Saccharomyces cerevisiae S288C: one gene and its partners. The gene in region 3 interacts genetically with the main gene of each other region. Each region holds a gene or a part of one and is shown on either strand. Other genes may lie near its edges. The genes, in order: HPF1, YER187W, RGI2 and VRG4.

Evidence for each region.
Region 1: mutations in RGI2 (region 3) and HPF1 together harm fitness more than expected from each alone (negative genetic interaction), as found in Saccharomyces cerevisiae (one large-scale study listed by BioGRID).
Region 2: mutations in RGI2 (region 3) and YER187W together harm fitness more than expected from each alone (negative genetic interaction), as found in Saccharomyces cerevisiae (one large-scale study listed by BioGRID).
Region 4: mutations in RGI2 (region 3) and VRG4 together harm fitness more than expected from each alone (negative genetic interaction), as found in Saccharomyces cerevisiae (one large-scale study listed by BioGRID).

Annotation. Positions count from the first base shown.
Region 1 is NC_001147.6:26,351-36,101, reverse strand, and holds HPF1 (mannoprotein), read left to right. Parts: upstream 1-4,495; coding exon 4,496-7,399; downstream 7,400-9,751. Other genes in the region: ZPS1 (Zps1p), read right to left, coding at 695-1,444; YOL155W-A (uncharacterized protein), read right to left, coding at 8,884-9,018; hexose transporter HXT11, read right to left, coding at 9,126-9,751. UniProt on the Saccharomyces cerevisiae protein: Involved in cell wall organization and biosynthesis.
Region 2 is NC_001137.3:562,041-569,414, forward strand, and holds YER187W (uncharacterized protein), read left to right. Parts: upstream 1-4,189; coding exon 4,190-4,615; downstream 4,616-7,374. Other genes in the region: YER186C (uncharacterized protein), read right to left, coding at 1-585; YER188W (uncharacterized protein), read left to right, coding at 6,000-6,719.
Region 3 is NC_001141.2:245,707-253,131, reverse strand, and holds RGI2 (Rgi2p), read left to right. Parts: upstream 1-4,735; coding exon 4,736-5,230; downstream 5,231-7,425. Other genes in the region: YIL055C (uncharacterized protein), read left to right, coding at 1-1,090; VHR1 (Vhr1p), read right to left, coding at 1,219-3,141; YIL059C (uncharacterized protein), read left to right, coding at 6,217-6,582; YIL060W (uncharacterized protein), read right to left, coding at 6,306-6,740. UniProt on the Saccharomyces cerevisiae protein: Involved in the control of energetic metabolism and significantly contribute to cell fitness, especially under respiratory growth conditions.
Region 4 is NC_001139.9:74,003-81,794, forward strand, and holds VRG4 (GDP-mannose transporter), read left to right. Parts: upstream 1-2,891; coding exon 2,892-3,905; downstream 3,906-7,792. Other genes in the region: SDT1 (nucleotidase), read right to left, coding at 4,013-4,855; Golgi transport complex subunit COG1, read right to left, coding at 5,110-6,363; EDC1 (Edc1p), read right to left, coding at 6,657-7,184; NIF3 (uncharacterized protein), read right to left, coding at 7,424-7,792. UniProt on the Saccharomyces cerevisiae protein: Involved in the import of GDP-mannose from the cytoplasm into the Golgi lumen. Defective copy causes severe glycosylation defect and abnormal retention of soluble endoplasmic reticulum proteins. Involved in vanadate sensitivity.

The DNA of each region.
Region 1 (9,751 bases), on a different chromosome or scaffold from region 3:
TATTACCACAGATTCTGTTCAGCCGCACTGGCATTACAACTTTTTCTGGTGTTCTATCAGTTGCATTGGCCTATTAAAGGGTTATGTTATTCTCAAGTTTTTTAATAAAACCAAGACGATCATTGATTTCTTTACTATTTATTGCCATGAAATTCAAAAGAGGAAATGTAGGTGCGTAGGCGAAAAACTTGGTAGAAGAAAACGTTCGGTAAGAATAAATTATCATTAATTTAATTGATAAAAGACATATTTATGTTTCATTTTGTAGTTAATCCTTTTTTTGTTCTTTTCAGGAACACAGTTCCTTCATTATATATGATGAATTCTATAATTTTGCGCGGATTTTGAAAAGTTCGATGCGCAATATAGGCCTCTAAATATAAATATAATAATAACACAATTATGATAAACTTGTCATTAAATTGTTTCAGACTATTGTAAAATTGAGAAGAAGAATGCTATTGTTTGATTCATTACTCGACACGTATACAATGCACTGAGATACTTATATTGTGCTCAATTTTTTGCAGTTTACGAAAAATAATGAGCAGTACATTCTCGTCAAAGTTTGCAATCATATAAAAAATACCATCTAATTCAATGAAAAAGAATAGCTCCAATTTATTTTAAAAACATAAACGAACTAATATTTACGGTATAGAAAACATATTCTGTGGAAGTAATGATGTGGTTATTACAAGTTACCTAGACAGCCACCAGGTATAACAGAAGCACTGTAAACGTCAGCGAGATAGTAAAGATAGTTGTCGGTGTTTCTAACTGCGTAAGTAGCATTGTTCTGGGTGTAGTCCACAACTTCTTCAAGAGTTTCCGCGTACTCGCCAACATATCCATCCATACTCATGGTAGGGACGTGCAAGTAACGATGTAACATATCAATACCTGCATAATGTTTTGGACCGACATCGACAATAGTACCTTCGAAACAAATTGTTGATAGTGGCTTTTTGGAAGTGTAGAAGTAATCACAAATAACAGTTTCAGCTGGAGCAGATTGACGGTGATGACCAGCGTAATAGTTTGGATTAGCTGCACACAAGCCATCAATATCATCACATCTCATGAGCATGGCACCCTTGGAAGCCTCCATCAATTGCTCAAAGACACCCATGACGGTGAAAATACTACCATTACCAAACCATCTTTTGTAGTAAACGTCATCGACACCATAGTTCAAAAGTCTATCTTTACCATAAGCGGTGATTTCAGCGGTATCCTTAAAAGCTGCATTCAACATTCTTGCGTTCGTCTCATTACAGGTTTGGTAAATGGTAGGAAAAGTTGCGTGACTCCAACCCAGAATTTCTTGAGATGAAGGAGATTGTAACTCAGCAGTAGAGTTGGTGTCGTAAGTGACAGGAGCACTCAAAGCTAGAGAAGCAATAGTTGCAAAGATGATAGATTTGCCGGAAGAGAACTTCATAATGTTTAGTAGTTGTGTGTGGATTTGGTTTTCTATCTTAATTGCTCAATCCCAATTCCTAGATGGGTTGTTCTCCCCCAATGACAGTAATTTTGTCTTGTTTTTATACGTTTCTAATTGATATATTGAAGGACCAGAATGTAGCTCTATTTGAAAGCATGTGCGGCGTCTATAGATCTCTTGTAGAGGGTTCAAGCCACGGAAAAGAACAGTACTTCAACAGATTCGTGATCTGGAAAAGAAAGTATAATTTCTTTTTCCTCCAAAGAGGTTACATTCTTGTAAGCAGTATGGCTACAAAAAACCTTCAGGGTCCTAACCCTGAAGGTCAATTATAAGAAGCCTTTAAAAACAGCGCTTCCGCCATGTCATTGTCGACAGCTAGCTACGGCTGATTCAGCGCGCATACGATTTTTTTCTTTTGGCTAGCATAAATTGATCGCATACTGCCCAAAAAGAAACGGCAAAACGTCAGAGCTTAATGCTTCATTGACATTGCGGCAGCAACAAACTTCCGTTTGGCACTCAATGATCAGCACCTCTTTTCCACTTCAGCTGAAAATTTCAAGCAGTTGACTCTTGTTGGACTTTATTCTTATCTTTTTCTTTACTTAATTTTTCACATTTTAAAAGTTGTTTAGTTTTACCCTTTTTGGAGATTTTATTACAGCGATTGATTATGGGCCAGGTGAATATTGGTCAATTATTGAAATTTCATTTTATCTATGAGAAATAGATGAAAAAATTAGATAATTGTGTTGGGATTCCACTGTTCTCATTAGGTATGAATTTCTCCTGGAGGATACAAAAAAAAAAATTCACAAAAGGGAATCGATTTTTGTCTGTATGATATTATTGAGGCTTTCATTCATTTTACATATTGTCGTTCATTACCTTGTTACATTATCAATCCTTCCATTTCTGTATCCTTTAGATATGATGACTGCCTCTTGATGTTATGCCATATTTGCACCAGTATGTCATATATACTAGCAAGAAGACTGCTAGTCAATTAACAATAGTTGATTCTCGATTCAGCAACCATATTTTTGGAATCGGACTGAATTTTGTCGAACTAATTATACACCTTTCCTTGAAAGAATAAGCTGTTAGTGAGAAACAAGCAAGAACTTGCTAGCCGTCGCAGTTTGTCGGATTTCACTAAATAGACAAAACTACATGTAGAGTATCGTATTTCTATGGTAAAAGTTTACACCATCAAAAATTACCCCGCGAAGACTACGCAAATAAGGTTATACAAGTTAGTTGAGATGAAATAATCATCTCCACGTTCACGATTTAAGGCTAAATTGGAATGCGGCTAAAAAAGAGCGCAGTTACAAGAAAAAGCTACTATTTTATTATGCACGTGTGATAGCATTATCTTCAAGAATAAGCTCAAAAAAGAAAATGAGCTTAAAAAACCGCCTTTCCAGATAATTGAATGTAGCATATACCTATACATGCTTACCATGCCAAAAATATAACGGAACCACTACACATATCGGACCGTATTTTTATGGTTTATCAGTAAGGCCAACCATAAACACCTCAATGTTGGGGAGTCTGTCCTCGGCAATCAATGACGATGCCATTTCACCCTCATTCGAGTACTCGCTAACGTAAGAAAAAGGCACCCCGCAATGGGGTAGATCATACCCTAAAATGTTTCCTAGGTAGAAATAATAGTTACTAGGTAGGACGAAGGCAAGTACTACATAGCAGTACGGTTTCTGAGTCAGTAGTAACCCCTCAAACTTGCTCACACTTATCTTACCAAAAAATGGAGACGGACAATCAAATCTGAATTAAAAACACCGTCGCTTAACTGAATCAGAGAGAGAAGTTGAAACCAATGGTAGGAAATCAATCTAAAATAGAACACTTTAATTCTTAATAAAAAGAGGGGAACAACTTATTTTCTCCATTTGGCCTCGGCAACTTTCAGGGGGGCTTGAACGTATATACCGATCTACGTTGGAATTGACTGCTACTTCGTTCCACTAACCCAACTCAACAAATAAGCCTTGGAACCGCTGCAAGATTAGTCTATGTGACCGTGCCTTTTTTGCACTTTTAGAGAAACAGTGTTAAGAACTGTAATAACTGTTCAATTCTAAGCACTCAAACCGTGCTTGTACATATGCTTCAATGGCCTGCTCGATAGACCGATCACGTTTAATTTTTCTTTAATTTTGCCAAGGGAACGTTCTTTTCGTAGGCACCGCAATTTATTTCTAATGGATAAGTTCTGAATTTTGCTATGAATTAGTTAGTAGGGCCTACTAAAATGGCGTGGTATTTTTAAAGGGCCTTTACCAGCCACTCCTCAACAGAAAACCGTGCTCGCGTTGCAGAAATACGAGGTAGACACGCGCCTTAGGAACATAAAAATAAATATCTCGCGCTCACGGAAGGCAACCACTAACTCCTTTTCATCGAAAAGTGAGGTGTAGCTTACTAAAGCATTCCTCTTTATCCAAGTCGTATATTTTTCTTTATACTGCTAGTTCATTCTGAGCGGAGATTCCTGGCTAACTCTCCAATTGGAAATAAGGTAATAATGACTTTTCATGACGAATTGGGTGAAAATGCTTGGTGCTAGGCCCTGTGTTGTGGCTTTTTTCGGTAATAGTTTAATTTTCCAAAAAGGTTCCTGTGACTATCTTATCAAAGTAGCTTAGACCACGTCCTGCACGGTTTTGCAGACTGCTTAGGGGGTCTCTTGTTGTTATTAGCAGCGGAATATCTTTGTTTACTCATTAAAATGCCCCCCCGTTCGTTGCAAGGAACGCGCGCGCACAGAACTTGCGGATGCTTCCGCAGAAGTGCCCGTAGGAGATTTAAGCTAGCCCAGCGGTTAATCTACGCAGTTGCGTATTCGGAGTCCGCTCACACTTGCAAAAAGCATATAAAAAGCTTCATATTCATCTCATTAGTATCGGTTCTGCCATCCCATTATCTTAGGTTTATGCCTTTTCTGGTTCTCAAGTCAGTAACAACAAATACCCATCGTTGATTCTTTTTGGTAAGATCTCGCCTGTCAAAGAGATGTTCAATCGCTTTAATAAACTTCAAGCCGCTTTGGCTTTGGTCCTTTACTCCCAAAGTGCATTGGGCCAATATTATACCAACAGTTCCTCAATCGCTAGTAACAGCTCCACCGCCGTTTCGTCAACTTCATCAGGTTCCGTTTCCATCAGTAGTTCTATTGAGTTGACCTCATCTACTTCTGATGTCTCGAGCTCTCTCACTGAGTTAACGTCATCCTCCACCGAAGTCTCGAGCTCCATTGCTCCATCAACCTCGTCCTCTGAAGTCTCGAGCTCTATTACTTCATCAGGCTCTTCAGTCTCCGGCTCATCTTCTATTACTTCATCAGGCTCATCAGTCTCCAGTTCATCTTCTGCCACTGAATCAGGCTCATCCGCCTCCGGTTCATCCTCCGCCACTGAATCGGGCTCATCAGTCTCCGGTTCATCTACTTCCATTACATCAGGCTCATCCTCCGCCACTGAATCGGGCTCATCAGTCTCCGGTTCAACTTCTGCCACTGAATCAGGCTCATCCGCCTCCGGTTCATCTTCTGCCACTGAATCAGGCTCATCCGCCTCCGGTTCATCTTCTGCCACAGAATCAGGCTCATCAGTCTCCGGTTCATCTTCTGCCACAGAATCAGGCTCATCAGTCTCCGGTTCATCTTCTGCCACAGAATCAGGCTCCGCTTCTTCGGTTCCTAGCTCATCCGGTTCTGTCACAGAATCAGGCTCATCCTCATCAGCATCTGAATCATCTATCACACAATCTGGTACCGCTTCCGGTTCATCAGCCTCCAGCACGTCCGGTTCTGTTACACAATCTGGTTCCTCCGTTTCCGGTTCATCAGCTTCTTCTGCTCCAGGTATCTCGAGTTCAATTCCTCAATCAACCTCATCGGCTTCCACTGCCTCTGGTTCTATCACCTCCGGTACCTTAAGTTCTATTACCTCTTCGGCTTCTAGTGCAACTGCAACTGCTTCCAACTCTCTTTCTTCCAGCGATGGTACTATTTATTTGCCTTCTACAACCATCAGTGGTGACATCACACTCACCGGTTCAGTCATTGCAACTGAAGCTGTCGAAGTCGCTGCAGGTGGTAAGTTGACCCTACTTGATGGTGACAAATACGTTTTCTCTGCTGATTTCATAATCCATGGTGGCGTTTTCGTAGAAAAGTCTAAGCCAACTTACCCAGGTACCGAATTCGACATTTCTGGTGAAAACTTTGATGTATCTGGTACCTTTAACGCTGAAGAGCCTGCTGCTTCTTCCGCATCTGCCTACTCCTTCACTCCAGGCTCTTTCGATAACAGTGGTGATATTTCTTTGAGTCTATCAGAGTCCACAAAGGGCGAAGTCACATTCTCTCCCTACTCTAACTCTGGTGCTTTCTCTTTCTCAAATGCTATTCTCAATGGTGGTTCCGTCTCTGGTTTGCAGCGTAGAGCTGAATCAGGTTCTGTCAACAACGGTGAGATAAATCTTGAGAATGGCAGTACCTACGTCGTTGTCGAACCAGTTTCTGGAAGTGGTACAATCAACATCATCTCTGGCAACCTTTACTTGCACTATCCAGACACCTTTACTGGCCAAACTGTTGTATTCAAGGGTGAAGGTGTTCTTGCCGTTGACCCAACCGAAACCAACACTACTCCTATCCCTGTGGTTGGATACACTGGTGAAAACCAAATCGCCATTACAGCAGATGTCACTGCTCTTTCTTACGACAGTGCTACTGGTGTTTTAACTGCAACACAAGGCAACTCACAATTCTCCTTCTCTATTGGTACTGGGTTCTCCAGTTCTGGCTTCAACGTCTCCGAAGGAACATTTGCTGGTGCCTATGCTTATTATCTAAATTACGGAGGTGTTGTTGCTTCCAGCGCTACACCCTCATCCACATCTACCACATCAGGGGCTACCAACTCTACTTCCGGTTCCACTTCATTCGGTGCTTCCGTAACTGGTTCAACCGCTTCCACTTCATTCGGTGCTTCCGTGACTGGTTCAACGGCTTCCACCTTGATTTCCGGCTCCCCATCTGTTTATACCACAACATTAACATATGCAACAACCACAAGCACAGTAGTTGTCTCCTGTTCAGAAACAACTGATTCGAACGGTAACGTCTATACCATTACCACAACCGTACCATGTTCATCTACCACCGCCACTATCACTTCTTGCGATGAGACCGGATGTCATGTAACTACGTCTACCGGTACCGTCGCCACTGAAACCGTTTCTTCCAAATCATACACCACTGTTACCGTCACCCACTGTGACAACAATGGCTGTAACACCAAGACTGTCACTTCTGAATGTCCTGAAGAAACTTCAGCAACTACTACTTCTCCAAAATCATACACTACTGTTACCGTTACTCACTGTGACGACAACGGCTGTAACACTAAGACTGTCACCTCTGAGGCCCCTGAAGCCACAACCACTACTGTTTCTCCAAAGACATACACTACCGCTACTGTTACTCAGTGCGATGACAATGGATGTAGCACCAAGACTGTCACTTCTGAAGCTCCTAAAGAAACTTCAGAAACTTCAGAAACCAGTGCTGCCCCTAAGACATACACTACTGCCACTGTTACTCAATGTGATGACAATGGTTGTAACGTCAAGATAATCACCTCTCAAATACCTGAAGCTACTTCAACCGTCACCGCAACTAGTGCTTCTCCAAAGTCATACACTACTGTCACTTCTGAGGGTTCTAAAGCAACCTCATTGACTACTGCCATTTCCAAGGCTTCTAGTGCAATTTCCACATACTCCAAATCTGCAGCTCCAATAAAGACCTCTACTGGTATCATTGTCCAGTCCGAGGGTATTGCCGCAGGTTTGAATGCCAATACTTTGAATGCATTGGTCGGTATTTTCGTTCTTGCTTTCTTTAACTAATTTTTTTAACTGAGGAATTAAAAGTTTATTCCTCTGAAACGAGATAGGTTCTTAATATGCGTTTTATATACGCTTTGTGTAAACAGTTAAGTATTTTTTTAGCTTAATATTTGGATTTTTTTTATTTTTTTTATTCTTTTTGGATGAAATGGTTCCCTCTTCTGCCAATGAAGGGGAGACTAGGTTGATGTGTACACATCGTACACATTTTAAGGACACTTATTTCACTTATTGTCCACAGTAAAATCGTTCAGGCCATAATTAAATGCGAACTTAAGAGAACCTAAAAGTACCTCCCAACTTTTATAGTGGAGCTTCCGCTCTTTGGTCAGAAAAAAATCGAGTTCTGAACACTTGGCTTTATATTACAAATTTCTCCCTTCCAAGAAAGACAAGGGGTGCTTATCGCGACATGTCTCACAATAAACTTTATTATATTTATACTTTATTTATTAATAAGAGTTTCAAATAGGATTCTTGGAGAATTTTCAAAGCGTTTTTGCGTATAAGAAACTTTTCGGTTTGGCTCTTATCAGTTTACTGCCGATCTTTCTTCCTCACTGCTTGACCTGCCACTACGGAAGATCTTACCGACAATGATGTGAGCGGCGAGAACAAGGGAAATCTCGTAAGAATAGGAAACAACCTAACCTCATTTACTAAGAGAACCCGCAGGAAAAGATATCTTTTTGAGGCACAATTTTATGACCGCGTGTTTTCGAATTTTGACAGGGATCATGCAGGCAGAGATTTTCATGTCATTTGACAGCAAGTAACCCACAATCTACAGTCACACCCTTTTTGGCTTTTTTGAGGCGGGACTTTTTTTTTTAAGACATAATTCTTCAGCAGATTGAAATTCTGGTAACCTAATTGAGAAATCCCACGCATAATTGAGTTTTAACTTTCGAATTTTTCAGCAAGATAAATTAATGTCTCGCCCGGGCCATAGACAAAAGAAGAAAATCTATAAACATTCCGTGGATCGCCATGTGATATTTCTATTTAATATAGGCACATGGCTATGGCGAAACCTTAATGTGATACTTATGGTACATATATGTAACATGCTATAGTTACAGTAAGGATTGGCAACTTAATTCGTTTCCTTCGATTTTATACTCTTCGAACGTATTTGCAGTCATTGGCAGTAGAACATCATTTAGCACATCCAACGACTACCGTCGTTGTGCACGTGACACTCACCCCAATTGGACACTGACTTGAACTAAAATAACAGCGTGTCATATAGATAAGGAAGATAAATATATTGGAACTGGTAGTATCACATTTCCATCATGAAAAACCCAGTGTAGCCATATCGAAAATATCAGAAACGAGTGGTAACACGGAACCTATATATATTACATAGGCTGCAATGAGTATATTGATTCATGATATCGTAGCTGCTTGAACTATTTTTCAAGGCTTCAAAAAATATCATGGTATTATTAGCATGCAACTTGTGAAAAAATAAATATGCATTACAGTACAAGGATCTGAGTGTTAGATTTATAGTCGGGCCTAGTTGCACTCTTAATAATACGGTATACATAATAATGGATTGCCATCCGACAACTATAGCCAGTCACGCATTTATTGAAGCTTCCATAAAACATTCATTAGAAATTAAAGGGTACAAAAGTAAAAACATTATGTATAATAGAGAATTAGTTTCGTCAATTTTTTTTTTTGCTTTTTTACCAATTTACCGAAAACTAGAAGATCAGCTGGAAAAGAACCTCTTGTAAATTGGTCTATTGTCATGATCTATTGCATCAGCATCGTAATCTGCGGTTCTTCTCTCCGGTGGCACCCATGAGGCCGATTTCCATGCTGGCACACCTTCCAGCCACATAGTATTCACCTCCTCCAGTGTCAGGCCTTTTGTTTCTGGGACAAAGAAAAAGACATAAAAGTATGCAAAAACCAGACAGCCTAAGAATACGTAACCGTAGTAAAAGTTGATTGCCCCGGTAATGAATGGGGTAAAGAAACTAATCAGGAAACCCCACATCCAGTTTGCAGCTGTTGCGATTGCCATTCCTCTTGATTTGACCCTAAGAGGAAACGTCTCTGAGACAATAACGTAACAGCCGCCTGCCCAAGTGGTGGCGAACGAAAAAATGAAGAACATAGTAAACACAATCATACAGTTACCGGCGCCCTGAGAAGTAATGTCTTGGTGACTGCTTCCTTGAGGCCACAACTTTGTCACACCGACGGAGGCAAACACAGCAAAGCAGCATAGCATAGAAGCAGCACCCCACAATAGACACGTACGGCGTCCAAACCTCTCAATGGTGTATACCGCTATGAATGAAGAGAAAAAATTAACCACACCGATAATGA
Region 2 (7,374 bases), on a different chromosome or scaffold from region 3:
GGTGAAAACCCATTTCATAATAACCTTTTTATCCTCTACAACATATACTGATCTAATTTCAGAGCATCTAACCAGTGTCAATATCCTAAAATCTTCCTTTTTTCCGAAGTTGAGCTCTAGTATGTGGGATATTCTCTCCTTATTGCGATAATAGCTTGTTTTCTTCACCTTAACAGTGCAAAAAAGAACTTTAAACAGAGTGAAACCGTCGCACTCTCCTTTTACCTCATAATCCGACTCTTCAGGGAAGTCCCCATTTTTCAATATCTCGTATTGATAAAAAAGAAAACCCACATAATCTCGCCTAACAAAAAAAGGCTTCTTAGTGCGGAAGGCAAATAACGGCAAGCCCTCTCCATCCGCCGTAAATGACTTGAAGGGATGCTTCCTACTTGCAAACAGATTTATAGATCGTTGTGATTTGAATATTAGATCGTCTTTGAAAACACGAAGCTTGACCATTCCAGTTTTCGTTACAGTATCAAATTTAAACTTATCCGGAACATCCTTCCTGTCTTCGTTAGCGTAGATTTCTTCTTCTATAGCCTTTACTCGAGGCTCGTAACCATCAGGATGCCACAGCATGATACTGTTTACAGAACTCGATCATATACTAGAACCTTTGACTTCGGTAATCAGCCCGCATCCTATGCTTTCATTTCCTTGGCGTATGTTACTGACTAGTTTCCTGGCTTAAAATAGGAGAATTCATCCTCTTAGTTATTTTCTTGGTGGACCACGTGCCTTGCTTAAAGCAGGGCGCTGCCGTTGTTGCAACAGCATTTTCAGACTTTCCTTTAGGTAAAAAAGGTCAACCAATAATTTTATTTTATTTCTGATGATGGTTGCGCGTTCCAAGAAAATCAAAACCTTGGGCCTCATCCTCTTCTAAGACGTATAATGCAATCAAGAAACCCTTCCCAAAACCTAATAAAGGCTTGTTATTAGTTTCAAATTCAGGCAGAACTCGACTTGGATCTTTTAAACTTTTAAAGTCGTAGAAAATAGGTGCATAATTAGCTAAAACAGAAGAGACTCACCATTTGAATTATATAACTTTATTAATTCGAGTAAAACATCCATCAGGTATAGCGTGTTGCGGAAAGACTTTTTTTACTCTTATTGTAACAAATATGTGTTACAATTTACCTGTAACCTTGTTCTGTATAAAATTTTCTCTCGTTGTCATATGCCAATCTTTATATAATTAATAGAAATTTAGGAGGAACACAAGAAGAGGGGTAGATCCCGACAAGCCTTAACATACAGACGTAAAATTACTCGCAAATTTGCGAACCACTTGGTCAGGTGCGGTACGTAAAACGAAGATTTGTACAATAAAAATATTGTTGGTTTAGCTAGATTATATTCTCCGATGATTTTTTAACTTCGATTTCCATCAAATTTTATATTAGACAGTAATGGAGTTTCAATTTCGAAGTCACTTCACTTGAAGCTGAATTATACTAAAAAAATTTTCTTTTACTTGATTTATTGCTCTGCAGTGTCTGATAGTGTAATGGCGGATAATGCAAAGAAGAGTAAAGGGAAGATATTTTATTTCTTTGATTATACAAAATTTTTAACTTGTATGTGATCCCTGTCTTTAATATCGTTTCATTATACAAACTAACTACAGAAATAGCTAAATGAGTGATTACTGTGCCATCATTTTGACTTCAAAGATCATCTATATCTTGATATAACATCTACCTGTCGAAAGTAAGATCATCCCTTTGCGGGCATGTAAGGTGTAAGATATAAGAACAAACAATTGCTAGAAAATAGCTTTGAATGAATGTTAAAAGGGACTGAACTTAGAAGTGTGCGATTTTCTGTTTTCAAAATTTGCCCAAAGCGCTTCTTTTCTTTTTAAGAATTGTATAGATGTAATTATTTAACGGATGTCTGACATTATTGAACCTTCCTAACTCCACAAAAATAACCAACGGGACCTCTACCTTACTAAACCACTTCCCGCCCCATTAACTAACCAGCATAACCTAGACAATACAAGGAAATGTACTTCGAAATTTTAAGGTAAACGCAATTCTTGTCACAATATAAAGCTCTCACTGTGCTCATACACTGCTTCGATAATAAAAACCAAATGGTTTCTACTAAAACATAGCAAGCCTCACAAGATATAGAGATCACACACCATTGAAAAAGAAAGTTCAGCAAGTTTGCTGGAGGTTGCAAAGAGACTAACGAAGGGCTTTCATAACGACATTTTACAGTTATTGATAAAAGAATGCTTTTACGACAGCAGAACCTATTGGTTTGAAGAAGATAGAGGTCTAGTAGTATATTGTTGCTTTAATGATTCAAACTCTTAACAATGTGGGCAAATATGCGTATGATTTCGTTCTGGGAAAGGATAGTAAGAAGCCTTTTTGATTACAAAACCGTGAAAGACGGTTTAGCAGCTTTTACAGGAAACCTGCTTTACCTTAGCCAGTGTTTTCTCATCTTCAAAAAAAAGTATTGTACGCAACTCTTCCATCTAGCAGAGCTCCCGCTCTTTTTCAAACAAGTTTCATTATATTTATTCTTAATAATTTTGGTATCATCGAGGTGAGGTCTTCGTTGTTTCAACACCAGCTATTTTTCAGCGGCTTACAATTACGTAGTTCTATTAACGAATACACTGGGAGGTGAGTATAATCATGGACTGTAACACTATACGACTCCAACACGTTATATGTATCAGTTATATATATATATTATATTATTTTGGGAAGAGTAGCATTGCTTTTGAAAGTACACGGGGTTTACTTTGGCTCATAGAATGGGTCTGGATATGAAATTCTGAAATATTCAGATTTTGGAGTACTGAAAATATTTAGCAAGAATTTCAAATATTAGTTAGTAAACCAAACCAAGGCATCTGAACTTGAACCTCCATAACTCGCTTTCTAACATAATGAGCTTGTATGACATAATATTATAGAACTCGAGGTTAACCTTTAAATATAAATATAGTAATCTTCATGATAATAATTTCAGGGTAGTGCGCGTATTTGTCGAAAAAACGCAAAATGACAGAAATTCTATGTTTACTGACTTTAGATTTTGTTTTAGATCAATTGGCGGAAAAAGGACGCAGTCTGTAACTTTGATTGGCATCTTGATTTGATTTGTTGGGTGGTTCTCTTACAATCAATGGTTTATTTCATGGAAAGCTTGATGACATGTGATAGCACACCATGCTAATTAGTGAAAAGAGTCCTTGTTGACTTACCACATGTGCAGCCGCCTTTTACCGTGGTGCGAAGCATATTGAGCGGCCTGGAGACCAAGAATGTCAGGGCCTTTAAACAATAGAAGAAGTGTATAGGAAAAAACTAAGGTGTTTTGAGATATTTTTTATAAAAGTAGTATTTCTTAAAAATCAGCGGGGAGCCATTCTTTGAAGGCGCGCTTGCAAATTTTAGGTATTGGGCTTGATTATTTTGGCAAGTGTCATGCATTGTAACAAATCTATATAAAGTGACAATTCTGGAACACTGTATCGTAATCCCAAATAATGTATGTAGAATAGAAAAAAATATATGAAAAAATGAATAGATCATACACAGACGACATGAATAGCAGCCCTCCAAATTACTTGACAACAAGGACGTTTAGAATCGTTAGATTGTTTGCAATAATTTTTGCACTGCTTTTGGTAGCGTACTCATTATTTTTAAGCACACTTAGAACTGGAGCTATACCTGACCGCGCCAACACTGCTGCTCTAGTACGGCGAGCTAGGTGATCATTTGCGACTGGATTAGGACTAGGAGGATTTTTAATTGCTGCAGCCGCTTATGCTACTCCTTACTGGGTCGCAGCAACCTGTATCGCATCCACTAGCGGAATATGTTCACCTATAGCTGGTGCTGTTTTAGCAACTTCAGCAGTTATAGTTGCAGCAGTTTTAGTGGGAAAGAGTTCTGGCTCAGCAACAAAGCGAGGGTTAAGTGAGACTATTAATGTACTGAATCATACTATAACACTCACTGATCATGTGCTCAATGGGCAAACATTGTCTAATGGTACTGGTAGTAATTTTGTTACAATAGAGTTTAGTGGGTATGCAGTACATGACACTATTAAACGTGACGGTGCTGCTGAGATCAACTTTGTGGGGTATACTACGGAGCATGGAACCCACATCAGCACGAGTAGCGTACATAATGTGAGCATGCTCATCGATCAAATCGTGGCAGCGGTACCAGGGGTACCTGATATAAGTGGCAACGCTTCGGCCCTATCGTTACAGAGACGCAGTCAAGAGTTCGCCACCTCATGGATATCAATGACATATAGTCAGAGTTATGGTGACCTGGCACAGAACTGGCAGAATGACGAAGGTGGAGCAGGAAATTTTGATTCTTATGCTGAAGAGAAGTTACAGAATTTCTTTTCAGGTAATAGGGATTGGAAATACTGCTTTGCTGCTGAGGACACGAAAAACGGTGAGCCACTTGATTACGATGACATACCTGGTGACGGTGCAGGCACGGGTTCGGCATTCAAGTCTGAGATATATTTTAACACTTACGGTGGTATAGATAATTATTGTAATGACGAGCATATCGGTGCTCAGAACACTGGAGATGGTCGATAAAGCTTTACGCCTGTCGCTGAATTGACTGACCCGAAATTAAGAACTGTTGACGTAGTGAATTACGATCTAGTTTATATGTCATAATGTAGTAAGTTTATTGGACCCTTCTATATGTTATGTAAATGTAATAATTACATAGTTACTGCTTTTGTACATAGAAACTATAGTTTCTTAAGTACTACCGGATTAGAGGTTTGCTACTATATGTTTTCCTTGTCTCAAGCATTACTGAAACAACTCTGAAACAATACTAAAACATTACTCATATCATGCTTTTGGGTTACCACATTCAACAATAACTCGAATACATTTATAAAAAAAACAAAACTAAGGTACAAAACACACACCACACCACATACGCGCTGATTGGTTTTATGGAAGCTAATAGTTCAGACATAGCTCAGAAAAATAATAATAAGTATTATCAAATATAACTCATCTGGTTACATGCTAAGTTCTTGTCAAGTGATATAGCGTTATCTTTATTATTGAATTAAATTCTATAATTAGAATTCGACTACACCAACTAATGACTCTAAAAAATATGTGATTGCCCTTCAAGATTGCATTATTTCTCAATGCATTACATACATAGAGTATACTAGATACAGATAGATGATTGTAAGTGTTGGAACAAGATTCAATTATCATCCTATTTATTGCGATAGACGCACTACTTGAGAGTGATATACTTACTTATGCTACTGCATTCAAAGAGTACCACTAAACAATCTCAACAGAATCAATCAGACTTTTTTTTGCCACAAAAACTTTTAACGATGTCCTTTGGCAGTACTGTATTTTGAGATTAAAGGCGTTCAGTCAATAAAAAATCTAAATTCTTGTTCATTTTCAGTTCTGGTATTTTTTTCATATTAATGATGGGGTGGCTCTGGAGGCTCATTTTTCCCACTGAAGATCGCTGGTAATTTCGTTCGTATGTTTTAAAGAGAACTATATCCTGTCGCCAATTATGTGCAGTTGATGAGAAAACTAAGATAGAAATAAGTAGGGATGGAACCAGGATCCACAAGAAGCGCGTTTAGCCGATCCGGCTTATCAGGTACGAGAAGCAGTATTATTAAGTAAGAAAGCGCGCAGGAAAGCGGCCTTTTGAAAGCACGTCTGCAGACATCTCACGACACATTCCCAAATAGGGCCCTGCTAAAAAAAAAGCAGCAGAGCGTACGTTGCCTGGGAAGCATGGTTTAGCGTGTTGCTATATTATGGTAAGGGGGGTGGTCAGTATACGTTGTGCTGACTGCCAGAGAATATCCTTATTCACAATTATTTGTTGAGTTTGATACTTATTTACAGAGACTATATATAATGACACTTTTGGAATACAGTATCGCTACTCAATATCATAAAAAAAGTAACAATAATGATGCCTACCTACCTAGGAAAGTTAACGTGGTCATACTTTTTTACCACTTTAGGACTAGCTTGTGCTTACAACGTAACAGAACAAATGGAATTTGATCAGTTCAAATCAGATTACCTTGCCTGTCTCGCACCAGAACACAGAAACATTGTAGTCGATTTGGCTAGTAATGGATTCATAACAATTTCACCGATGGCGAATGCAACAATTGACTTTGAGGATGTAACTAGTGATTATTTTAACTGCACTGACGTCAATACTAACGTACAGGTTACGATCGCGTCATTTTACAATGAATACGGTTTTGGGCCCGATGATAACGGCTATTATCACGCTATGGAAGAACCCTCAGAATTTGAACGGCATGACATGGATGTTAGGCTCTACAGACCATACTATCCAGGTGAGTTTGTCATGGGAAGACGTTCAGATGCACTTGGAGTGACTGGTTTTGACCAAAAGGACTGCGCAGGTGAGGGTTTTTACGACGAACAAACTGCAGCAACGTCATGTCAAAATATAGGCTCCACTCAGTACGCCAAGTCGGTCAGGTCTTATAACTATGGATGCTGCGGCGGGGCGGTCTGGATCAGGATTTGGCCGCATCACAATTGTTCAAAAGGTCATGATCACCATTTCAAGATAAGGCCAGGCCAGATGCTATGCTGGAATGTCAACCCATATTCTTGGATGCAACCAGAATCCGGATGGAATCCGTAACGAATAGGATTCTGGACATACGTTAGGTTCTTGTCGAATGTGATAACCCAAAAGCATGGTACAAGTGATGCTTCTTTTTTGTGTCGGTAATACACAAGGAGAACATATAGTGATAAACCTCTAACCCACTATTACTTAAGAAACCCTAGTTTCTATGCACAAAAGTAGAACCCTATATATCTTATATTTGTATTACATATATAAATGTCCAGTAAACTTACCACATTATGACATATAAGCTAGATCGTAATTCACTACGTCAAAATTACATTATGGGAGTGAAAGTATAATGGAGCACCCGTGTGAGTATGTGCTTGTTGACGTTAACGAGGATGAACAAACGACAAATAGATTCGACGTATTGAAGTACTTCTTGGCCACTTTTCATCTTCTGACGCGGTGAGCTTTTAAGAGCCCTTCTTTTTCGACTGGCCACGTGAGAAGACATACAGTTCAGCTTACATAGCTTTGGCCCATACAATACCTATGTGCCCCAAACCGCAGAGACGATTAGCACACCTTTTTACCTGCACCACAGTCATTTCTCGATAATGGTGAAAACACAGTGATACCACCGCACAGCAAAGGTGCTGCCAATGGACTTGAAATATTTTATGGAGTGCGAATAAAAAAATGCTCATGGACTCGAATATGA
Region 3 (7,425 bases):
TCCACTTGCTTCCCCTACACACTATCCCCGTCGTCGGCATTTCTATCACCAGAACCAAAGCCAGTTTCAAAAATACATGCATAATAGCCCCAGGAATCCAGATACTGGCACAGGCCCTCGTCTTTCTCAGCAGCATCACCTCTCCTTAAGGAACAATAAGATAAATCCCTCTTATAACGAAATATCTGCCCTTTACAACTTGAACATGGCCTCAAATTCCAATAATAATGGTAATATTCCCACTACAAGTACGAATGGTGATGACCGTGCCCTCCAAGCAAAGAATGGTGGAACAATTACACCTTCACAAACTCAAATAAATCACAAAAGATTAAAGCATATCTTTAACGAGAAAAGCTTTAGAAAACAAATGACGAATAGAGGTATGTGGCAGCTGAAGATCATAAATTTCCCACCCTATATACCTATAGAATTCTTGGAGAAATTATCAGAGTCTGATTTCAATGAGTTAATGAACCAAGAGAAGTTCACAGTTATTGAAATTAAAGAGAAAGGACAATTGGAAAAATTTGGAAGGCTAAGATGGACAGTTCTAAAAGATTTTATAAAACTGAAATGCCCCAAGCTATTAAGACTACAGGAAAGACAGTTTCTACAGCAACAAAACGAAGCATCTTTACTCAATGAATCTATGGACGCTCTAAAGATATCAGAAAATGAGAACACCAACGGGAGTGCAAATAATAGCACATACACAAATGGCGGACCTCGAACATCTATCAATAATACAAGGGAATTCTATGTAGGGGTTTATGAAGATCATGAAGAAGCAACTCTACTGAGGTTTGAATTACCGGAAGATGAATTAGAGGAGTTTAATAGAAATTTGCCAACTACTTTTGCACAAAGTGGAAACGTCTCTGACTCCGAAGGTGATAGCAAGGCGAAATACTTTAAAGTTAGCACAATTGTGTATAATGCCATTGTTGGGTTCCACGATAAAGAGCTGTCTGATTTGACGTTCGAATCCTTACAAGACCAGGAATATTCACTGGGGTACAAAATTCATGTAATGGAACTGCCACCATTTGACGAGGATGAATTTGAAAATCAACGGCAGCAGTTCTAAGCATGGATTAAGAGGATATTATTATTTTATCTTACATAAATATGTACGCGAATTGAAAAAGAAAAAAATATTGTGTAGAATGTGTATTAGGCAGTTATGTATGTAGACAATTTTGTTTTGTATTTTTATCAAAGTAAAGGCTGGAAAACCGGCTGTGGTAAATTGCCATTTTGAAAAGAATTTTTGTTCTTTGTAACGTATGGCGCTGGCACAGACTCGTTGTGGTCATTATTATTTGTGTTGGAGGTGGAGGTGCCAGTGTTTAAAGTAGTGTTGCTATTTTCTTCATTCATTGGCGATTTAGAGATCCTATTAAGGATGTTATCAAAGGCAGTTAAGCTTGATTTTTTTGGATCATCTTTTTCTTGTGGTACCAATGGAATAGAAGGCATAGAGGGGTTTTCACCTATGCATGACATTTTGGGCAACGTAATGGGCACTGGTATTTTTGCATCTTGTAGTGGAATGGTGGAAATGTCCTTAATTACGAGATGAATCTCGCTCGTGGAAAAGGAATCAAATAACTTTGCCAAACTTTCATCGTTCAAGAGGTTATCGTTATGGAAAATACCAAAATTCTTGTTCTTGTTGATAATATTAAATAAATTTTTACAGTTTTCCAAAACTTCAGACACCGTGGGTGGTCCATTGCTCAACTGGTGGAAAGTAAAGGCTTGCTCGCGATCATTAAATCTAATGATCACTCTGCGATTAACATCTTTATTGGCCGATTGAGGCTTCATTGGTAGCGTAGTTAAAAGTGTAGCTCTATTCGATAGAGTGTTATTATTATTCAACATAACGTCACTTGAAACGACAGGAGGGCTTCTCTTAACCCTCTTGTTAGGTGAAGATGATGGTGGTTCTGACGCACAGGAACTAGCCAAAGGATACTGAACCATCACAATATGATGTATGATTTCACTTAAAGGGTAAAGCGTGGGGTCGAAGCCAAAATCCTTGACAATACCACCTATGACCAAATACAGTAGCCTTAGTTGTACCTGAGCCGCGGGGAAATGAGATAAGTTATGTCTTGTAGCGGCACCGAACAGTCTTTGAGACAACAAAGCCAGATTTTCAGGAGAGCACGTCTTGGCAGTGATATACTTCATTGAAGAAGAGACCAAGTTGGAGAAAAATCGTTCGATAACGAATGCAATAGACATTCGGATTGACATTTCACCCAAAATCTCCAGATTTGCGTATATATCAATGGATCCTGCAGCCTGCGAAATGTCCTGACAAGTTCTTGATCTTTGGATTTGTAGGAGTAACTTTTCCCTCAGGAAAAATGGCACGGTAGAATCTATCGGGATGTTTGTGGTAATGTTAGGTTGCTGGCTGAGTGAAGACGTAGCAAAATGTGACAGGTTTGGCCCAGTATATGGGTCCTTGAGAGCTTGTTCTGATAGGGGTACGACATTCGTAACAAGATCGTGCACTAGCATGGTGACTATATCGTTATACTTTTGTTGGGTCGAAGTAACCGATGGAGATGAGTCATTTTGGGTGCCCACGGTTGGAAAAATGGTTCCGTTATGACTCTGGTGACTCATGAGAGGCTGGAACTTGTTTGAAAACTGGAAATCTGCAGCATAATTAGAACTAGGCAGGAAGTCCGAATTGGAGCGCTGGTAGATCGACGGAGAGATCTCGTCGTCAGAAGTAGAATTTGACGAGATGCTGTTGTTGACATTGCCGCCACTGCCATTGGCTATGCTGAGAGCGTAGCGTTTTTTTGATCGTTTTCTATTCCTTCTCACTGATTGCACAGCAGCAGTGACTAACTTTTCGAATTCCTTAGAGCAGCTTACAGGGTATCCAAACTCCGTTCTTAATATTGTAGCAATCTGCTTTATGTTTTGATCTTGTTCGCTTGCCTTATATTGACTTAGTTGGAATTTGTCTATCAGCTCCAGCCTTCTGCTCGAAAACTGTTTCCATTTCTTTTCATCATTAAAATTGAGTAATTCTCTAATCTTATGAGTTGCTCCATTCCCAGAAAACTTATTTATTCTATATTGAGTGAATGTTGGAGGACCGTTCATATGTGTATAGGATATAAGCAACGAAGAAGAATAGGTAGAAAGAGAATAAAGAAGGTTTTAAAGCTATAACTAGTAGAAAAGAAAAATGTAGGAAGGGAATGCGGATGCGTTTATGCTAAGATGCGATGGGGACAATAGAAAAAGAAGAGAAAAAAAAGGAAGAGGAAGAGGTAGTGGTATAGAGAAAGAGAGAGAAAAAAAAAGGCTAGTAGTATTTGTATAGTAGGGAAAGGGCTAGATTAGAACTGAACCAAGCTGACCTGAATTGACTCAATAACACCATTCTCACCCACACAAGTACCGAAGATCCAAAAGGCAAGAATCATGGAAGAGAGCACATTGATTTATAGTAAAAAAAAAAAAAAGAGAAGACGACGGTAGAAAGATTTCAGGGAACATATGGCTTACACTTATGCTGAAGAAGTAAGAGGGAGAAGCGAAGCAAATATAATCTGTCACAATGCACAGTGCGCAAACGTAATCTGCCCACTCAGCTAATAGCTCCTGCCATGATTCTGCTGCGTAGTCTATATGAAAGGAAACGAAGGTCAGAGATGAAAAAGAGATAAAAAAGAAAAGAAACTTCTCCGAGGGGCGCAGAATTCAGGGCAAAACAACATGGAATCGATCAAAAGTCATAGTCACCCACGGAAACGTGGCGCCTATTCCGTGGCAGCTACCCGCCCGCCGCTTGTTCTCAGGGCACTTGTCCACTGCATTCCGATGTTCCGCGGAAATTAGCACGGCCTCTTATCCCCGGCTCCGCACGATTCCCTGTGTCCGTGCATAACGAATGACTCTTGTGTCGTGTTATCCGGGCTTTCTCCTTTTCCTTTCCCCGAGAAAGCAACCGACGCATACGGATATAAGCGGATCCCACCGAAAAGGAGACTCCACGGTCTTGGTGAATAACATCGCGCAGATTATTCTGCGAACCGTGGCTAATAGGAGCATGCCCGAAGAAATGATTATGGGTGCGTGATCACCAATCTGTGTGAGGCTGTCGAAGATATCTGATAATCAGTAAGCGATAAAAAAAAAATAAAAATAAAAAAATAACGACACCAGCAGGATTTGAACCAGCGCGGGCAGAGCCCAACAGATTTCAAGTCTGTCGCCTTAACCACTCGGCCATAGTGCCTAAAACAATGTAGGTTATTTAAGCAAGTATTGTAGATACTTTTCGTAATAAACTACAATGCACCCACGACTCGCGGTGTAATGATGGCATGAAATCATTGAACGAAGTTTTGCGGCTATACGGCTGAAGGACGAGACTAAAGGGACAGGAATTATTAATGCGGGGTATAATTTGAATAGTATTAACGGGCACTGCCGTTTAGCCATCAAATGCTATTGTTGGGGTATTCTCTCTACTTTTTGTTCTTGGCTTGAACCTTTTCGGCGGTTGGCAATCGTCCGTATATAAGCATCGGCTGTCCCAATCCTCTATTGCCCTTTTCCCTTGCACCTCCTTCTCAATTCTTCGTATCTTTCGCGTAAAGGTAGATCTTGATTCACCTATCTGTCGAAACACGATTAAGTGCAAACGAAACAACGTACAGTATATAACAAAGTATTTTAAATAATAAGAATGACGAAAAAGGATAAGAAAGCAAAGGGTCCTAAGATGTCCACCATCACTACAAAAAGTGGTGAGTCCTTAAAGGTTTTTGAGGATTTGCATGATTTTGAAACATATTTAAAGGGTGAGACGGAAGATCAAGAGTTCGACCATGTCCATTGCCAACTGAAGTACTATCCACCCTTTGTCCTGCATGATGCGCATGATGATCCGGAAAAGATCAAAGAGACTGCCAATTCGCACTCTAAGAAGTTTGTTCGCCATTTACACCAGCATGTTGAGAAGCACCTGCTAAAGGACATCAAAACCGCTATCAACAAGCCAGAATTGAAATTCCACGATAAGAAAAAGCAGGAATCCTTTGACCGGATTGTTTGGAATTATGGCGAAGAAACGGAGTTGAACGCCAAGAAATTCAAGGTGTCTGTCGAAGTTGTATGTAAACACGATGGCGCAATGGTAGATGTTGATTACAAGACAGAACCCTTGCAGCCACTCATCTAAGTTTGGGGAGCTGTTTTTATGAATTAACGAAATTTTATGAATTTACGAAATATAGCATGCTATATAAAATAATTTATATGCGCATGTATTTTGGTGTGCACCTTCTTACTGGAGTGTATACAAGTCTACAAATCAACACATGTGGTTTTTTTAATGTTTTGTCGTCACAACGCGACCTTAAATAAAAGAATTCCACGCTAGATTCATGCTACTATCACGAACAATACGTACCAATTAAGCTTTCTTGGTGTAATAAAAAAAGAGAAATGTACACACCACCATGATTCCGTTTACGTCTTGCTTTTCTACTTGTTTCGCTCATGGGTTCTCATCAGCTCTATTGTGTGTGCCCTCTTTGTAGATAATTAAACACATTGAAAAAAAAGAAAACGAAAAGATGGCACACGGCTTGGTCATCGAGTGAAGAAATGAAACTTCAAAAAAATTGCCGGACACTTAAACCTTAACGAGTTATACAGAACCGTATCCAGACCTGGAGCTGGGCTATAAGAAGAAGCGACAATATGGTATACTAAATTTCTGGACTCGTAGTCACTCAGTCTGTTTGTCAGTAAGTCACGTAGACCTGTATCGGCAGTAACTATGGTATTTTTTCCAGATTAATTATTATACGATGTTGTTACTTCGATAAGGTCACAACAGGTTTTCCATTGTTGAGAAACTGACTTTGATTATTATTTAGTTAGTAGGCAACTGTCATGTTGCAACCACAACAAGCAACAATCCTTTCACCATGACTATTATAAGCGGCCGGCAAAATTGCCGGGAAAACTGCCAGGGATATAATGCAACCTTCATTTGAGCACTTAAAATAGAAGATAACGTTGGTAAACCCCCCTTGATAGTGGACACATCCTACGTAGATCTCTCTACAGCCAAGTCGTATATATAGCAGCAAATTGCAACCAACCACATGGGACATAGGAATGAGTGGTTTTCTCAGACCCTGAACGTGACCGTCCATCATGAATTTCTCCACAGTTTTTCAAGCAATAATCGCGGTTTTAGGTTTAACTACAGTCACAGCTTTAGCAGAATTTGATTTCGACGTAGGCTATGAAGAGTTTGTCCGTACCAATCCTGATACGATTTTCTTAGAGAGTGATATTGGCCTGCACGTTGGATATACCGAGGGTGGCGAACGACAGATAGCAACGATACCACACAATTCCACGCTAGGGACTTCACTACGTGAGTATAGTGGCTGTGGTGGTAATGGTACAGAAACCTCCATCGCTACCCCCGCACCTACAATGAGTGAGGTACCTATCGCTACCTTCGTGAAACGTAGAAAAAGTGTACCTATCTTGCTACCGCAGGTATGTATGTGAAGAGTTGGTGAATTTTGAGATAATTGTTGGGATTCCATTTTTAATAAGGCAATAATATTAGGTATGTAGAATGTACTAGAAGTTCTCCTCGAGGATTTAGGAATCCATAAAAGGGAATCTGCAATTCTACACAATTCTATAAATATTATTATCATCATTTTATATGTTAATATTCATTGATCCTATTACATTATCAATCCTTGCGTTTCAGCTTCCACTAATTTAGATGACTATTTCTCATCATTTGCGTCATCTTCTAACACCGTATATGATAATATACTAGTAACGTAAATACTAGTTAGTAGATGATAGTTGATTTTTATTCCAACAGTATGGGAGGTATATGAACCCCTACAACCACTCATTTAGAAGTGGGGGACTGTAGTTCTTTTATGAAGTAACGAAATTTTATGAAGTAACAACAAATGTTGTTAATTGTAATCTTAATAATCTAACATTTAATAAATCTTGACCTTAGACTTTTTTGTCTATTCATAATATGCTGATATTACTTTTCTTAAATATAAATATAATCTATATAATATTATTAACGAAATGTAGGAAGCTAAAAAAAAAAAAAAAAAAAAGAAAGAGACTTTTATGCGTATATTTAGGTACCCCGGTACTTACTTCTGTATATATAAATCAGTGAATCAATACATATTTTTTTTTAATGTTTTGTCCTTATAACGCGACTTATTCAAAAGAAAAAAAGAAGTCCCATGCAAAAATCTTGTCATTATTGCGAATGGATATATCAGTGAGACCTTTTTAAGGTTGTAGGGAAAAGGAAGTACGCTTCATTACAATTTCGTTCATGTCTTGCTCGCCTACTTGTTTTGC
Region 4 (7,792 bases), on a different chromosome or scaffold from region 3:
TACCAGCCATTACTGCGCACTTACCTACATTAGTCACTCTTAGCGTATATTCTAAATACGCTTAGAGACGTCTCCTTACTATTTTTCATACGTATAACTCTCAAAGGACAGTATAGACATATCCCTGGGGGCTTTTAGAGTGCAGCCTCTGGAGGTCTACACACGTTAATAGTCTCAAAAAATACGCTAATATTTGTTAAATAAGCGAATAGGTCTTCATGTGCGCCTGAATCAGTAGCTGTCTACATGGTAAAGAGTAATTTGTTGACACGAAAATTGATAGTTGGTTAAAAAATATTGCAGATTCAATACTACATGAAAGACTTAATTACAAGATAGACTGATGGTGAAAAAAGAATGTACAGGTTTACCGGCAAACATTTTGAGAAATTAAAGCCCAAAAAATTTTGTGTACCTTATGATTTTCCTCCTCTGTCTAATCCAGTTCCGTATCTGGGTACTGCTGCTTCTTTGTTAAAATCGCAGCATGCTTCCCATTGTTGGGAATTGACTTTGAGCAATATTTAGTTAGTAACTACCATATAGGTGACTGTCGTGTGCCAGCTATAACAGAAATAATCCTTTCACCATGATCATTGTAAACGATCAAAGAAAACTCTGAAGGGACTATAATGCAGTCTTCATGCAGACACTTGAAATATACGACATTAGTAGCTCCCAAGGTAGTAGGCACATCCTGCGTAAATTCTCCACAACCATGTTGTATATATAGCAGCCATAGTATGACCGAGCACATGGGACGTACGAATAAAAGATTTTCTCAGATCCCTGAACTTGAGCGTCAACCATGAATTTCTCTACTTTTTTTTCGAGCAGTAATTACCATTTTAGGTTTGATTACAATCACAGCTTCAGCAGAATTTGATTTCGACGTAGGCTATGAAGAGTTTGTCCGTATCAACCCTGATAAGACCTTCTTAGAAAGTGAGATTGGCCTTTACGTTGGTTGGACCGAGGGTAGTCAACGGCAGATAACAACGATACCACATAATTCCACGTTGGCGGCATCACTACAAGAGTAGAATGGTTGTGGTGGTAATGGCACAGAAACCTCCATCGCTACGTCCACACTTACGATGAGTGGTATACCTATCGCTACGATAATGAAGCACAGAAAAAGTGTACTTATCATATTACCGCAACTATGTACGTGAGGTGTAAATTATGGCTCTCATAGGACATAAGTAGGACAGAAATTGAAATTTTTGTGTTGGCAGAGCGAAAGAAACTTGAATTCGTTTATGAGGAATAAATTCTCAGCTCCATCCATGGTTCCAGTTGACGCTATGATACGCAAATTCCTTTGTGATACAGGTATCATTTCTGCAATTCCTCGTAGATTGTTGATCATACCATAAGATTGATGCTGGGGAAAGTGGAGAAGCTAACTTAACGATTGAGGCCTTGGCAAACCCTGTTAAACCAGTACTATCGGCCTTAACATGCGACTTAGAGAGAGAGAGAGAGAGAGATGTTTGCGTTTGCGTCATGATAGAGATGCTACATCCACATAGTTGTTGTAGACATGTTTAAAGGTACAATTCTGCAACAACGCCTTGAAATTTTCCAAAACTAACCAAGCACATTGGAGTTACGCTTATATAGTAAGCCACTTCACTTGCGTTGCTGTAAAGGTTGATAACTACAGGTAGGAATTAATGAATGTTAAATAAAAAAGGGAAATACCATCATCTCGACAAGAAAGGCAAAATAACTTTTCAATCTCACCAAGACGCGCGAACGAAACTCGTGCGTCTATATTAGTATCTTGACGGCGCTTTTACATCATTAAAGGTGTAATAAAACTGAAGTCATGCGATGGCACTGAAATAATCAAAGTAACTATTTGTGATGGCATGCACTGTGATATGATCTCAAGGAAAAAAATGCAATGTCGGGCGCCAATACTTATGATCATGCTTAGTCTCGACATTGACCTTGCTTGCTACAGTAATCTGGTGTCCGAGTAGTGACATCTAGGTACCGGTGAGAACTATATCTTCATTACTACACTTGTCGCCCCTGAATATTATCGCTACACACGCGAAAGAGCTCTTGTTAAAGTTACTCTCGCATCATTGCGGTACATGTTTTGCATATTCATCTGAAGTAGGAAAGGGTATAAGCAGTATATGATGTACCATCTGCATAAGCGGTGTTTAATGCGTACCTATCGTTTAAGAACAAAAGGAACACACCCACACCCGCTCCAATACCATATTGAGAGAATAATGAGGTAACATATGCTTCTATTTGGTTCGATAAGACGGCTACTAGTCCAAAAAAAGTCAAACAACAATTTCAACAGCTACATTCTGAAGATAGAACGCATTTTTGCCTGAATATTGCAACTCAATAGACATTCTAAAGTGCTACGAGAAAAAAGCTTGTAATGGACCATGGCAATGTGCGCCATATATATATGCGGCTCCCTTATGAGTAGAAGAAAATATATGACTGGTGGTACAAAGTGGCATGGTGGTATATAGATGTAGGAACACCATTTGAGTTTGCCATAATGATTAAATTTCCCTTTTTATAAAGAATTAGCCGCCCATAACACGAAAAATATCACAGTTGACGAAAGAAGACACGTCGCCTAAACGCGTAATGAATCGCAATATACGAAAAGCTAAACGGGTTTTTCAGAATCCTCTTACCCAGCCTTGGATAATAGTTTTGGCCGAAAAAAAAAAAAAGAAAGAAAAAAATTGAAATTTCGCGATCCGAACAAACAATGAACAGAAAAACAGAATATATATAACGCTGCCAAGCCTATTTCTTGTTGCCGATTAATTGTTGACATCCTCTTAATTACCAAAAGAGCCTAAGAAAACAAACACACTAACCACACAGTATCTTTCGCCCGAATGTCTGAATTGAAAACAGGTCATGCAGGCCATAACCCTTGGGCTTCAGTTGCCAATTCCGGTCCGATCTCTATTTTATCCTACTGTGGTTCCTCTATTTTAATGACGGTGACTAACAAGTTCGTCGTCAATTTGAAGGATTTCAACATGAACTTTGTCATGCTTTTCGTGCAATCTTTGGTTTGTACTATAACCTTGATTATCCTACGTATACTGGGCTATGCGAAGTTCCGTTCATTAAACAAAACAGACGCCAAGAACTGGTTCCCTATTTCCTTTTTACTGGTCTTGATGATCTACACCTCTTCGAAGGCTTTACAATACTTGGCTGTTCCAATTTACACCATTTTCAAGAATTTGACTATTATCTTGATTGCTTATGGTGAGGTTCTCTTTTTTGGTGGCTCTGTCACCTCCATGGAATTGTCATCATTTTTGTTGATGGTCCTTTCTTCTGTCGTTGCAACTTGGGGTGACCAGCAAGCTGTGGCTGCCAAGGCTGCTTCATTGGCTGAAGGAGCAGCCGGTGCTGTTGCCTCCTTTAACCCAGGTTATTTCTGGATGTTCACCAACTGTATCACTTCTGCATTATTCGTTCTTATAATGAGAAAGAGAATTAAGTTAACTAACTTCAAGGATTTCGACACTATGTTTTACAACAATGTTTTGGCTCTACCTATTCTATTGCTGTTTTCTTTCTGTGTGGAAGATTGGTCTTCAGTTAATTTGACCAATAACTTTTCTAACGATTCGCTAACTGCTATGATCATCAGTGGTGTTGCATCCGTCGGTATTTCTTACTGTTCCGGTTGGTGTGTTCGTGTTACTTCGTCTACTACATATTCGATGGTAGGGGCTTTGAACAAGCTGCCAATTGCCTTGTCTGGTTTGATTTTCTTTGATGCTCCAAGAAACTTCTTATCTATTCTCTCCATTTTTATTGGTTTCCTATCAGGTATTATTTATGCTGTTGCCAAACAAAAGAAGCAACAAGCCCAACCTTTACGTAAATGAGAACTTACGGGGGGTGCAATTTATTTTTTTTTTTTGGTTTATTTTATTTTATAGAGGCATCTAATGCAAGTAGATTTATATACAATTATACTTAAAATTGATATACCTTAGAACAGGTCGGACACAACGTGTGGTAACTCCAATATATCACTAATGACAATAGCGCCTTCTGGTGTTTGCCCCAAAATTTCATTTACTTCATTCTCAACTAAATGAATACATGTTTTCATGCCCAATTTGATACCTGTCTCGATGTTTTTCCCACTGTCATCTATAAAATAAGCATTCTCGTATCTTGCCAACCCGCTTTCCTTCATGGCTTTTTCAAATGCTTTAACATGTGGTTTGCAGACCAGCGTATCTGTCCTAGAGTAGTCACAATATGTCAATCCATCAAATAAATCCGCTATACCCAACAATCTCAGGCAACGTATTGCGTGGTTTTTATAAGCGTTGGTGAAAAGCCACAATTTATCAATCTTTCCCGATTGTCTCAATCTCAACAGCATATTCCTTAATGGTATATCAGGTTTCAAGATATCTTGTAGTGGTAAGGAATCATCCACAAGCCGGTTATATTCCAGTGCGTTCACTTTGTGGAACATTACAAGTCCCCTTATGGCAAGTCCATACTCTTTGTAGTAAGAGTTATTCAAAACGTGAGCATCTTCAGGTGATAGTTTCAAGTGTGTTTGAAAGAACCTCAGTATAGATTGTTGCATAAGATCGTGAATTCTCGTGGATGATTTATAGAGACAGTTGTCGATATCAAAAAAGAAAACTTTTAAGTTCGGGTTTTGAGGTGTAGCAGAAATATCTTGATCGATCGGAAATGTCACTTTCGAACCTGGATGAGTCAATGATTCAAGATGTGCTTTATTCTTGGCAATTTGTTCGTTCACCTCATTCTGATAGGTTGCCAAATCGGATGCAGTATATTCAACAGTCATGAAGCCTAGTAATGATTCGGTCCAAGAGCTTACTCATGTATTCCGAAATTAATTCAGGTGAAATGGGGGAGTAATATGATATCAAGAAGGCGATCACTTATTGAAGTCCACATAGATACACACAGATAAACATATATATATTATGTATATATATATATATATATATATATATATATATATGTATATATCAACGCCCATACCATTATCATTATCAATAAGTTTGCGAGGCGGGTACCCTCCCTCGTGCTATTATATTACTGTTGCCTTAATTGAGTAATTTGATCGATGACTAATTGCAAGAGATTGTGATTGTTGTACGAAGTTATAAAATCATCCACAACACTCGTTGAGTTTTCCAGTGGTGAAGGTAAGCGGGATGAGATCTGAGTCTTAAACTCTTGCAATTGAGTAATCAATTTATTTCTCAAATCTGTCAGTGTCTCTTGAGGGCATTTATACAATTCTAAGTTTTGTAGGATTTCAATCGTAGGCTGCACCGTTTGATAAATTTGCAACGTGGTATCATTGGTTAAACCTTTTGAATAGAATACCGCTGTATCAATATATTGTTTCAATGCATCATCATCAAGTGGAGATACAGTGCCATCATTGAGGTTCGTATCATTATCATGGAAGATATCTAATTTATGAAGAGTTTCAGGCTCCTTAAGCTTGGCTCTCAAAGTAGAGAGTGTATCCAAATGTGTGTTTATTTCTTTCACGGTTCTCCGAATGAGATGGTCTCTAAAGGTGGACGAATTCACAAAATCGACAACAATCGCGTCCTTATATTGCTGATTGGAGTGATATTGATGATCTTTGCTGTTGGCACTTGATATCAGTAACGCTTGAACGTTATCGTTAAATAGTGTCTCGAATAGGGATTCATTGAATATAGAAAGTAAATCATCGTCCCACTTCGAGGAAAACTCCGTGTTTAGTAAATTGTATAGTTTTACCCACTGTAGTAAAGTTAAGTTTAATGTCTTCATAGAGTCCACCAAGAACTTCTGTAGTCGACAACATTTGTCCTTGACAAGCGCTTCAAATTTGGAAGGAACTGGTATCAAAGATAATTCGTGGAAATTCAACAGTAGCTCGTCGAATATCCGCGACGGAGTAGTGGAAGTAACTATACGATTACAGAAGTTGTTGATGGAGATGGTCCAATTTGAAATTACTAAAATGTTTTGCGATGGTATGCTGACTTTTTCTTCGTCACGAGGTGGTGATATATGGGTAGTGGTTTGGTATGGTAGTGGAGTTAACTTATTCAACTGAAATTTTTCATCATTGAAACACAGGGATTTAAAATCTTGATCAACATTTTTCAAATTGAGCGACAAGTCATTAACAGAATCGGTCAAGCTTAAGATCTTGTTATAGTTCTTTAGCAAATTCTTTTGGAAGGCCTCATTGGTTTTAGTCAAATCGTTCTGTAACTCCAATTGATAATCTTTAATCTGTGGAATATGAGAATCGCGAAACAATGGTAAGACTTCATCCATTTTCTATCGTATTGGTTTTTTTTAGGTTTTCTACCACAAGATTTGTTGTACGAATGTGTTATTTATTATTCACCGCCATGTTTCATTTTTCTTCAGCATAATGATGAACTGTAACAGAAAATAGGAAAAAAAAATTGTCATCTGAGAAATTGCTTTGGATGACCAGATCCAAAACAGACATAAGCATTCGTATAATTGGTACATAGGTATATATCAAATAAAAATATGCATTATTCTAAAAAAAAAAAAAAAAAAAAAAAAAAAAAAATCAAAAATGTCTCTCTAAAGGGTGATTATAAAAAACTTGGTTTGGGCAAGTTTTTAGCCTCCCTTGGACCATTAGTGGCGAAAGTGGAGCCTGCATAAGAGTGACTGAGTTTTTTGGCACTGCCATTACAACCCATTGGTATTATCCCTTGAGAGCCATGCGGGGATTGTTTCTGGTTCAGAAGCAGATTCTTTAGGTTCTGACTCAGTAAACGAGTATCATCTTTGTTGTTCTGTCGTGGCGTTTCTTTATTATTCTGTCTGTTTTTTTTACCTAAAGTAGTTGTAGAGGAAGGGGAAGAAGGTGGAGAGTGCTTCTTTTGATTAAATGATGGTTTCTTGTTGGAAGAATGGCCGAAGTTAGGTTTCTGACCGTTAGGAAGAGTTTGAGGAGGTGGTATATCTGTGATATAGTTGTTATTATTGGCGTTCTTAGCAGCATTTCCCCTCGCACGATTATTTCTAGTTTTTTGTTTGATTAGATTATTTGTCTTGTTCCTGCCAGCCGATGGCAACAGCCTGGAGCTGTTGAAATACATGGTATCCGTCGACATGCCTTGTAATATTTGTGTGAGTATATTTGTGTGCTAAGTGTAATTACGTTACGCTTTGCTGAGTACTTCGTCTTCAATACAGAGTATGTTATTGTCCTTGTTATTTGAAGACTTTTACCTTTTCTATCCGTATTTCTCTATCCGATACAACAACATCATTTTACACGAACAGCCGGATGATAAAACTGTAGTACGTATGGTATTTGTGATATCCTATATAGCCATATAATTACTAGCAGCTATGCAACAGTCAAAGGATCGCAATCCATTTTGCTTACGACTACTTCGTGGCCCTCATCTTGCAACAAGCCCTTCATAACGTCTTGAAGGAATCCACGCTCAGTATTTGAGTGGTTGCAAACAATAACGGTCTTGCCCATTTCTTTCCACTTCAGTACTTCATGATGTGACATTTCTCCCGTATAGTAAAGGTCTACGTCCTCTTTTAGTTGCTTAAACACGCCAGAACCGCTCCCGGCACAGACAGCGACTTTTTTGATTTTGAGTTGATTCCATGCGGATGGAGCAGCAAGAGATGCTACTTGTACATAGGGAACCCGTAAAACACGCTTGACATTTTTGACAATTTGCTCCAAAGAGATGTCTTT